Linked DNA regions of Arabidopsis thaliana. The protein of the gene in region 1 interacts with the protein of each later gene in a pairwise test. Each region holds a gene or a part of one and is shown on either strand. Other genes may lie near its edges.

Region 1 (5,022 bases):
GCATAGACACTATATGATTCTCGAACCAATGAACTCGTTATGTAATGTATATTTGTCTCGATTATGATTATCTAATTTTTGTTCAAATCAACAAAGTACTAGTCTATTGTTAGAAGCGTTAGTTACGTTAGTTGATATCATAGCCATGTTAAGCTAGTATCATCCTCGACAAAAGTAATATTATCATCGATGTTCCCGTTACATTAGACTCTTAATACATGTTAATTATGAATATCCATATATTAATATGATTGTATGCTTCAAGAAAATAAAAAGATCATGATTTGATAATTGATACTACACTTAAAGTAATTATAGTTTTTTTTATTTTTTTTTATTTTCACATTTCCAAACATATGTGATCGAATACGAATGGCGATGTTTAAGATGCTAAATCAACAAGATCCTTACACAAAATCGAAGCAATTTTTGAGGAGTATGTAAACAGTGACCGACTTGAATACCTTCAGTGCCACGTTTTTCCTCACTTGGACAAACTTGTTCTTCATTTTTATTTGTTTGGACCAAGATAACTCGTTATTCATTACGAGGGCTTTCCACGGAAGAAAATGCACTACCTACAAAAGAAATGGAATAATATAAACTTGAATGGGCCCTGCTTGGGATATCAAGACTTCGGCCCAGCAATGTCCGTGCATGCAAATATTTTGTTAATCACTTTTTAAAGTAGCATTTGGATTATCGCTTAGTATATTTGCATTCCCATCTATTACTAATACTACAATACTAGGAGCAAAAGTTATTAGTTCTTTAATTTGATTGCTAGATAGTGCTGGAAACTTTATTTCAGGAAATGGAATTTCTAGGCTGGCTAAATAGTGTTCTGGATTCTTGAGGGACCCTGTTACGCCTAAAAATAATGTTGTTTTTTTGAAGGTCATCAAAATAAACATTTTATAAGACAGTAAAAAAAGAAATAAGACAATTATATTTATGTAGTCAAACGCTTGTTTTTGCTGGATATATAATTACATAAAAGTTGCATTTATCCTTTAATCAATTGCCAAAAAGCAAGAAATAATATCAATCCAATCTTATAAACAACTATATTATGAAAAAGATGATAATTATTGTACGCAAGATGTTATACGACACACGTAATTTGTAGATACACAAAAAGGTCAAGGTCAACAAATAACACGATCAATTGCATTAAATGTGTACTAGCATGGTTATCAGAAATTTTTATTGATACCATGGAATCGATAGACGACAAAACCAACCGTAATTTCAAAATTTCCGTAATTGTTTCTCTTCTCTTTTCTTGTTTTATCGACGATTATGGAAATTTTTTTTTTTTAACGGAGATGTTTGGTCCGACAACGTGACGGTAAATCCTCCACTGTCTTCGCTTAAAGACAAACGACAATTAATCTTTTTAACTCCTCGTTTCACTTGCAAAGTTATTTCATCATTTTAGTAGTTTACTCTCATTCTACTAAATTTGTATTTTTATTGTAACATAACGGTCATATCAGTATTTGGTTAGTTGATTATGTGACATGACTATGGATAATAAGACTTGATATGAATTCCCATATATAAGAAATCGTCGATGACATAAAACTACTTTATCTACTAACTTCATAAGGCAAAAATGAGTAGATAATTAGATTATTAGAAAGAGAGAGACAATGAGATTGATATTTTTTATATGGGAGTCCAAAATCAAGATAGATATACTTGAAAACACTCGAACCCCACAAGGATCGACAAAATATTTCTTTTTAAATAGCTCAAAAAAATTATTTAAAAAAATTCAAAATCTTTTTAAAATATCCAAAATGTTGAAAAGTTGTAAATCGATAAAAGAGAAAAATAATAATAATTGTGCCAATAGAGAGAAAGAGAGAGACAGAAGAAGAAAGAAAGGTTCCTTTGTCTCGGAACAACCAAAGAGCCACCACCCAAAAAAAAAAAGGTTCTTAGCTTTTTTTCTTTCTTTCACACGAAATCTCACGAGACGCCTTATTTCTTCTTCTCTGTCTCTTTCCGACGGCGTAACTCTCCGGTGGAATCTCAGCTCTCTTATCAGTAGAAGAAGTTTTGGTCTTTAAATGTAATTTTTTTGGTTTTGCTTTAAATTTCAATCGTTGTTATCAGAAAAAGTAGGTAGCAAAAAAAGAGATTTTTTACGAAAAGCAGATTGACTGGTAGCTGAAACAACGGAGGAGAATTATAGAAACGAGTAAAAAACAAAACCCTAAAGGTTGAAACTTGGTTGACGAAAAAAATGAGCTGATTTTTTTTTCTTCATTTATTTCATTCTTAACTCTTTTTCACATATTTAAGAATCAGTAAGAAACAAAAAAAAACAGAGTGAGACTAAAAAAAAAGATGCCGGTAGATTTAGATAACTCCTCCACAGTTTCCGGTGAAGCAAGTGTTTCAATCTCATCCACCGGAAACCAAAACCCACTTCCAAACTCCACCGGAAAGAAGAAACGTAACCTCCCTGGCATGCCTGGTAAACTTCAAAAATCCAAACTTTATTATAACTCAAAATTTCTCAATTTTTGTTAAAGTTTTGTCCTTTTTATACAGATCCAGAGTCAGAAGTTATAGCTTTATCACCAAAAACATTACTAGCAACAAACAGATTTGTTTGTGAAATCTGTAACAAAGGGTTTCAAAGAGACCAGAATCTTCAACTTCATCGTCGTGGACACAATTTACCATGGAAGCTTCGTCAGAAATCAAACAAAGAAGTGAAGAAAAAAGTCTATGTTTGTCCTGAAGTTAGTTGTGTTCATCACGACCCTTCACGTGCTTTAGGAGATCTAACTGGAATCAAGAAACACTTTTGTCGGAAACATGGTGAGAAGAAGTGGAAATGTGATAAATGTTCTAAGAAATACGCTGTTCAATCTGATTGGAAAGCTCATTCCAAGATTTGTGGTACTAAAGAGTATAAATGTGATTGTGGTACTCTGTTTTCTAGGTAAAGTGTTTGCCTTTTTTGATCATACATAAGAAAAAATTCAAAATTCAACAATCTAAGTTTTGAGTGATTTTTGTTTGCAGGAGGGATAGTTTTATAACGCATAGAGCTTTTTGTGATGCTTTGGCTGAAGAAAATGCGAGAAGTCATCATAGTCAGAGTAAGAAACAGAATCCTGAAATTTTGACCCGGAAAAACCCGGTACCCAACCCGGTTCCTGCTCCGGTGGATACTGAGTCTGCTAAAATCAAATCCTCCTCGACTTTAACAATTAAGCAATCAGGTAAAGAGTCTCTTGTAGTGTTCTAGATTGGGAATTTTTTGGTGTTTTTGGATTCATTTTTGTCGCTATATTTCTTTGTTTTAAGCTGAAAATGAAGATGGCTAAGGTAATCTCTGTTAATGGTCGGTGGTGTTCTTGGAGTTTAGTTAGATGTTTTGTCCGTAGTGTCGTATTATTTTATCTGTTACTTGATTAAGAACATAATTCGTTTGGTAAGTTTAATAGTTGTTCAATGGCTGATTGGTTCTTTATGATAAACAAATCAAAGATATGATTGATTTGCTTTTTGTTTGTTTACAGTTTATTTTTTCAATTCAAAAAGTATCAAACTTTATGTAAACGACTAATGACTCTTATGATCTACAGAATCTCCAAAAACCCCTCCTGAAATCGTTCAAGAAGCTCCAAAACCGACCAGTTTAAATGTTGTTACAAGCAACGGTGTTTTCGCAGGCTTATTCGAATCTTCCTCGGCTTCTCCAAGTATATACACAACATCGTCTTCTTCGAAGAGTCTTTTCGCGTCATCTTCGTCCATTGAACCTATCTCTTTGGGTCTTTCAACAAGTCATGGATCATCCTTTCTTGGGTCAAACCGGTTCCACGCTCAGCCCGCGATGTCAGCAACCGCTTTACTTCAAAAAGCAGCTCAAATGGGAGCAGCTTCTTCAGGAGGTTCATTGCTTCACGGGTTAGGGATAGTTTCATCCACTTCAACTTCTATAGACGCAATAGTCCCTCATGGACTAGGATTAGGACTGCCTTGTGGTGGCGAAAGCAGCTCGGGTTTAAAAGAGCTTATGATGGGGAATTCATCGGTGTTTGGTCCGAAACAAACGACATTAGACTTCCTCGGTTTAGGTAGAGCGGTTGGTAACGGAAATGGTCCAAGTAACGGACTATCTACTCTAGTCGGAGGAGGAACCGGCATCGATATGGCAACAACATTTGGATCAGGAGAGTTTTCAGGGAAAGACATTAGTAGAAGAAAATCATAAGTAGAGTAAATGAATGTGTTTGAGAGGGTTTTAGATGTTCTTGTTCAATAGGTTAGTGTGAGAATTTGAAAACTTCCCTTTGAAAGAAAGGGTTCACTATTTAATATATATGCAATTAGTTAATTATTCTGATTTACCTAATTTCGATTTCTTAAACGCAAAGAAATCTTTAGTGACGAGTGATGATGATTTACTCTTCTTATCTAATAAATTCCTTCACAAATGCAATAAATGGAATTGTTTTGCTTTCGTTTCCTTAATCGGAATAGGTAAAGAGAGTGAGATTTACTTCTTTATATAGAAACTCTTTCCAAATCTTGAATAATAGGGTCCCATTTGTTTTTTTGTTAAAATTTTCGGTGGAATATTGAAATTTTTTACCTTTCGAATTTGACATTTGATTTGATTAGATATTCGATAGACAAAAAGAAGAAAGAGATTCGGACAATAGATTTTTTTGCTGTGCCAATCGTATCGTAGGACCATTATTGATAATCGATATAGTGACGTGTTATTATCACGACAGGACAACACTAAGCCGTTTACAATCTCCTAATACGACCCATTACGTTAATGAAAATAGGCCATCGTTACTTGGGGGCTTAGGCCATAATTTATAAGCCCATTTATCTCAGTTTAGGCCCAAAGTTTCTCAATATATCTAAATATACTAAATCAGCAGTCACTTTTCCAGTAAGTGATGCATTTAGTGATTGACACATCAGCTTATTACTATTTTTTTATTCTTTCATTTTCACGCAGGATTTTTATGTGTCGTT
Region 2 (3,796 bases), on another chromosome or scaffold:
TACTTGACAGGCCAGACAACTGCCCCTGGAAGGACAAATGCTGGACTTGGTGGTCTTGGTGGGCTTGGAGGCCTTGGTGGACTCGGTATGCTGGGAGCGGACTCACCTCTTGGTGCGACTCCAGATGCTTCTCAATTGAGCCAAATACTGCAAAACCCCGCTATGTCGCAGATGATGCAAAGCGTACTTTCCAATCCACAGTACATGAATCAGGTAGCGCCTTCAGTAATCTGAATTTTAGACATTGTAGCTATTGTGAGGCTGTCTTTAATATTTTAATATTTCCTTCATTTCCAGCTTATGAGTCTTAACCCACAACTCCGAAGCATGCTAGATATGAATCCTCAGTTGAGGGAAATGATGCAGAACCCTGATTTCCTTCGCCAGTTTAGCTCTCCCGAGATGATGCAGGTTAGTTGGGCCCATGTTGTCTCTCCAGATAATTATTTTTATATCATTCAGTAGTCAAATTTCTCCGACCTAATGTTTTCTATTGTTTTTTGGTCTTTTTAGCAAATGATGTCTCTACAACAATCACTTTTCTCTCAGAATAGGAACACGGCTGGCCAGTAAGTTTGGATACCCTTTTCTGTTTTCTTTAGTTGGAACATTAGTTGAGTAGGTAATGTCCTTTATATATCATAATAGGATTTTGGGTTGATCTGTGTTTAGAAAATAGTGTCACTAGCTAACCAGGTAATTCTCTCGGTGGTGAACTATCTTATATTAAGTAATAAATGGGTTGAATCATTAGTAATGCAGCAACTCTTGTATGTTTTACTGGGCTGATCATTAGTGACCTTTATCAACGGCTGTAAAGTATTTTAGTCCTTGAAATAAACTTGAATAGGAGCATAAAAATTTTCGTTCTTTTTTGGTTCTTTCCTTTAACATTTGATATCAGTGATCTTGATTTCCATCAACCTCTATTCATGTTCCCAATCCATCTTCTTTGTAGGGATCCTACGCAAACTGGTGCTGCGACAGGTACTATATTATCTGTAATTGAAGTATGAAGGCTTCAACTAGTTCACTTAGACAGTGTGCTTTTTTTTGTTCTTTTGCTTTACTTTAATCGTATATTCATTACGTTGCTTATTGAGTAAATCACTACTATGGAAATATTTATAGGGACAGCCAATAACGGAGGACTAGATTTATTGATGAATATGTTTGGCAGCCTTGGTGCTGGCGGCCTAAGTGGCACAAACCAACCCAATGGTTAGATTCACTAGGGGCTATACTTTGATTTCTTATATATCTATTGAGATGGTTCCACTGAAACATGTCTATTTGATTCCAGTTCCTCCTGAAGAGCGATTTGCGACTCAGTTGCAACAGTTGCAAGAAATGGGATTCTACGACAGAGCAGAGAACATAAGGGCTTTGCTTGCAACCAATGGTAACGTTAACGCTGCTGTAGAACGACTCTTGGGGAGTATTGGCCAGTAACATACAGGTTCGTGAACTGATATCACTCCACTCTGGCTTCTCAATTATAGAATAAACAATGTGTTTTCTTTCAGTAATCTAATTTATGGAATTCGTATAACTACATTTATGATAGGATCGCGAACTTGTGGATAGAAAAGCCGCTCATCGATACACTATTTGTTTTCAATGGTCATCTTCTTTCCTCTTTACCCAATCCCCACAACCTTTTTTACATACTTTGGGTCGTCTGTTATCTTTCAGATTCTATTTGAAGTTGTTACCTCGTACATCTGTAGAAGTTGATTTCGAAATGTGGAATGGTTACATTTACGTTTTCTTATCTCCATTTTACTTATTAAATATAGCTGTAGTGACGTTGATAATTTGTGATTGAGCGTTAAGTTTTTCATTCGAATAACAAAGATAAATACAATAATAATTGAAAGAAAAACAAAACTTATGAGGAAAACAAAAAAAGAAATGTAAATCCGACAAAACAGGGAGAAGTAACTGCTAAGAAACCGTCGATGAAAACTAACTTGTTCTTCTTCTACTTAACCAACCATAACTCCCACTCTTCTACTTTTTTTTTTCCTCTCTTTTAGTTTTTCTGTCTTCTCTCTAGTAAGAGACTCAATAATAATGTCGAACACTTCAAACTCCGATCCCAATTCCGATATCCCATTTGCTTCCTCCAATGTAACTCTTCCTAGTTACAATCAAAACCCAAGAAGAAAACGTACTAAACTCACCAACAACGAAGTCGGTTCTTCTTCGTCTTCTCCAAGGCCTAAACCGGTCACGCAACCGGACCCTGATGCTTCACAAATCGCACGACCATGTACTGAATGTGGTAAACAATTCGGGTCACTGAAGGCACTCTTTGGACACATGAGATGTCACCCTGAACGTCAGTGGCGTGGCATCAACCCTCCTTCTAACTTCAAACGTAGGATCAACTCAAACGCTGCGTCATCATCCTCGAGTTGGGATCCATCTGAGGAAGAGCATAACATAGCCTCCTGTTTACTAATGATGGCTAATGGTGATGTCCCAACCCGTTCAAGTGAAGTTGAGGAACGGTTTGAGTGTGATGGTTGTAAGAAAGTGTTTGGGTCACATCAAGCGTTAGGCGGACATAGAGCAACACATAAAGACGTCAAAGGATGTTTCGCCAATAAAAACATAACCGAAGATCCTCCTCCTCCACCTCCTCAAGAGATCGTTGATCAAGATAAGGGCAAGAGTGTGAAGTTGGTCTCGGGGATGAATCATCGATGTAACATCTGTTCTAGAGTGTTCTCCAGTGGTCAAGCGTTAGGAGGTCACATGAGATGTCATTGGGAGAAAGATCAGGAAGAGAACCAAGTCAGGGGCATTGATCTTAATGTTCCTGCGGCGACATCTTCAGACACAACGTTAGGTTGTTCCTTGGATCTTAGGTTAGGACTTTGATATATGATAACTTAAGGTTTTATATATTTATTGGGTATTTGGTTCTTTCTCTTAATTAACAAAAAACTCTCTCTGTATATATGTGTGATACTTTGTATGATGAACGTATAGGATTGTGGTATTGTATTCTATATATAAGTTAATTAGTTTATGAAATGCAAATAGAGTTATTTACTAAATGTCCAATATTCAAGAAATTAGCTTTATGAAGTTTAAAACGTTGAATCTTTTTCCCTATGTAAAAAGTTTATATTGTTTGATCATACATGTATATGTATCATGCATGGATTATGGTGTTTCTTCACAGTGTCAGTACACTAAGTGAGAAAATCAAGATTCTTCTTCCCTAAAAATGTTGCTTCGAGAAGAGTTACTTTGTTGAAGCTATTAGCAGATTCAGGGTGGAAGTTGTTGTTGACTCGAAGATGATGCCACATCGTGCTGCTTTGTTACTTCATGCATTTCAGAAGATGAAATCTACAAGCAAAAAGATTTGGTTTTATAACATGAATGCGAAAAATCTTCAGGGATGAAATTATTGTAACAGTAAGCCTCCTTACTTCTTTTTTAGCCTGCAAGGCTTTAAGTGTTGCAACAAGCTTTTTAGTGATGCCATTCTCTATATAACCCTTCCACTGCAAACATTCAGAGGCGAGTTTTAAAACTATAGTAGCTTCTTCTGTAGAGAACTTTCCCTTCAGATTTGGATCCATGAGCTCAGTGACATCCTTTCCATTGATCATCTCAGGAGCCTAGAAACAGAGGATAAATAACCACTCAGTAAAATGTAACTTGTGTTGCAAGAAACCAAGGATTCCACAAAGTCAAGCTTGAACAGAATTACTTACATGGCTCGGAGAAATTTGCAATCCAGTTAGCAGATTCACAAGGATAGTACCAAATCTGT

Evidence for each region.
Region 2: the proteins of IDD2 (region 1) and DAZ1 interact in a two-hybrid assay, tested with the Arabidopsis thaliana proteins (one large-scale study listed by BioGRID).

The regions. Positions count from the first base shown.
Region 1 is NC_003074.8:18,838,587-18,843,608, forward strand, and holds IDD2 (indeterminate(ID)-domain 2), read left to right. Parts: upstream 1-1,824; 5' UTR 1,825-2,358; coding exon 2,359-2,488; intron 2,489-2,565; coding exon 2,566-2,962; intron 2,963-3,045; coding exon 3,046-3,245; intron 3,246-3,611; coding exon 3,612-4,243; 3' UTR 4,244-4,467; downstream 4,468-5,022. UniProt on the Arabidopsis thaliana protein: Transcription factor that acts as a positive regulator of gibberellin (GA) action, homeostasis and signaling. GA converts the GAF1 complex from transcriptional activator to repressor via the degradation of DELLA proteins.
Region 2 is NC_003071.7:7,475,928-7,479,723, reverse strand, and holds DAZ1 (C2H2-like zinc finger protein), read left to right. Parts: upstream 1-2,040; 5' UTR 2,041-2,076; coding exon 2,077-2,889; 3' UTR 2,890-3,062; downstream 3,063-3,796. Other genes in the region: AT2G17190 (ubiquitin family protein), read left to right, coding at 11-213, 298-411, 514-569, 959-987, 1,132-1,221, 1,304-1,452; AT2G17170 (Protein kinase superfamily protein), read right to left, coding at 3,286-3,366, 3,450-3,641, 3,738-3,796. UniProt on the Arabidopsis thaliana protein: Mediates the regulation of male germ cell division by DUO1.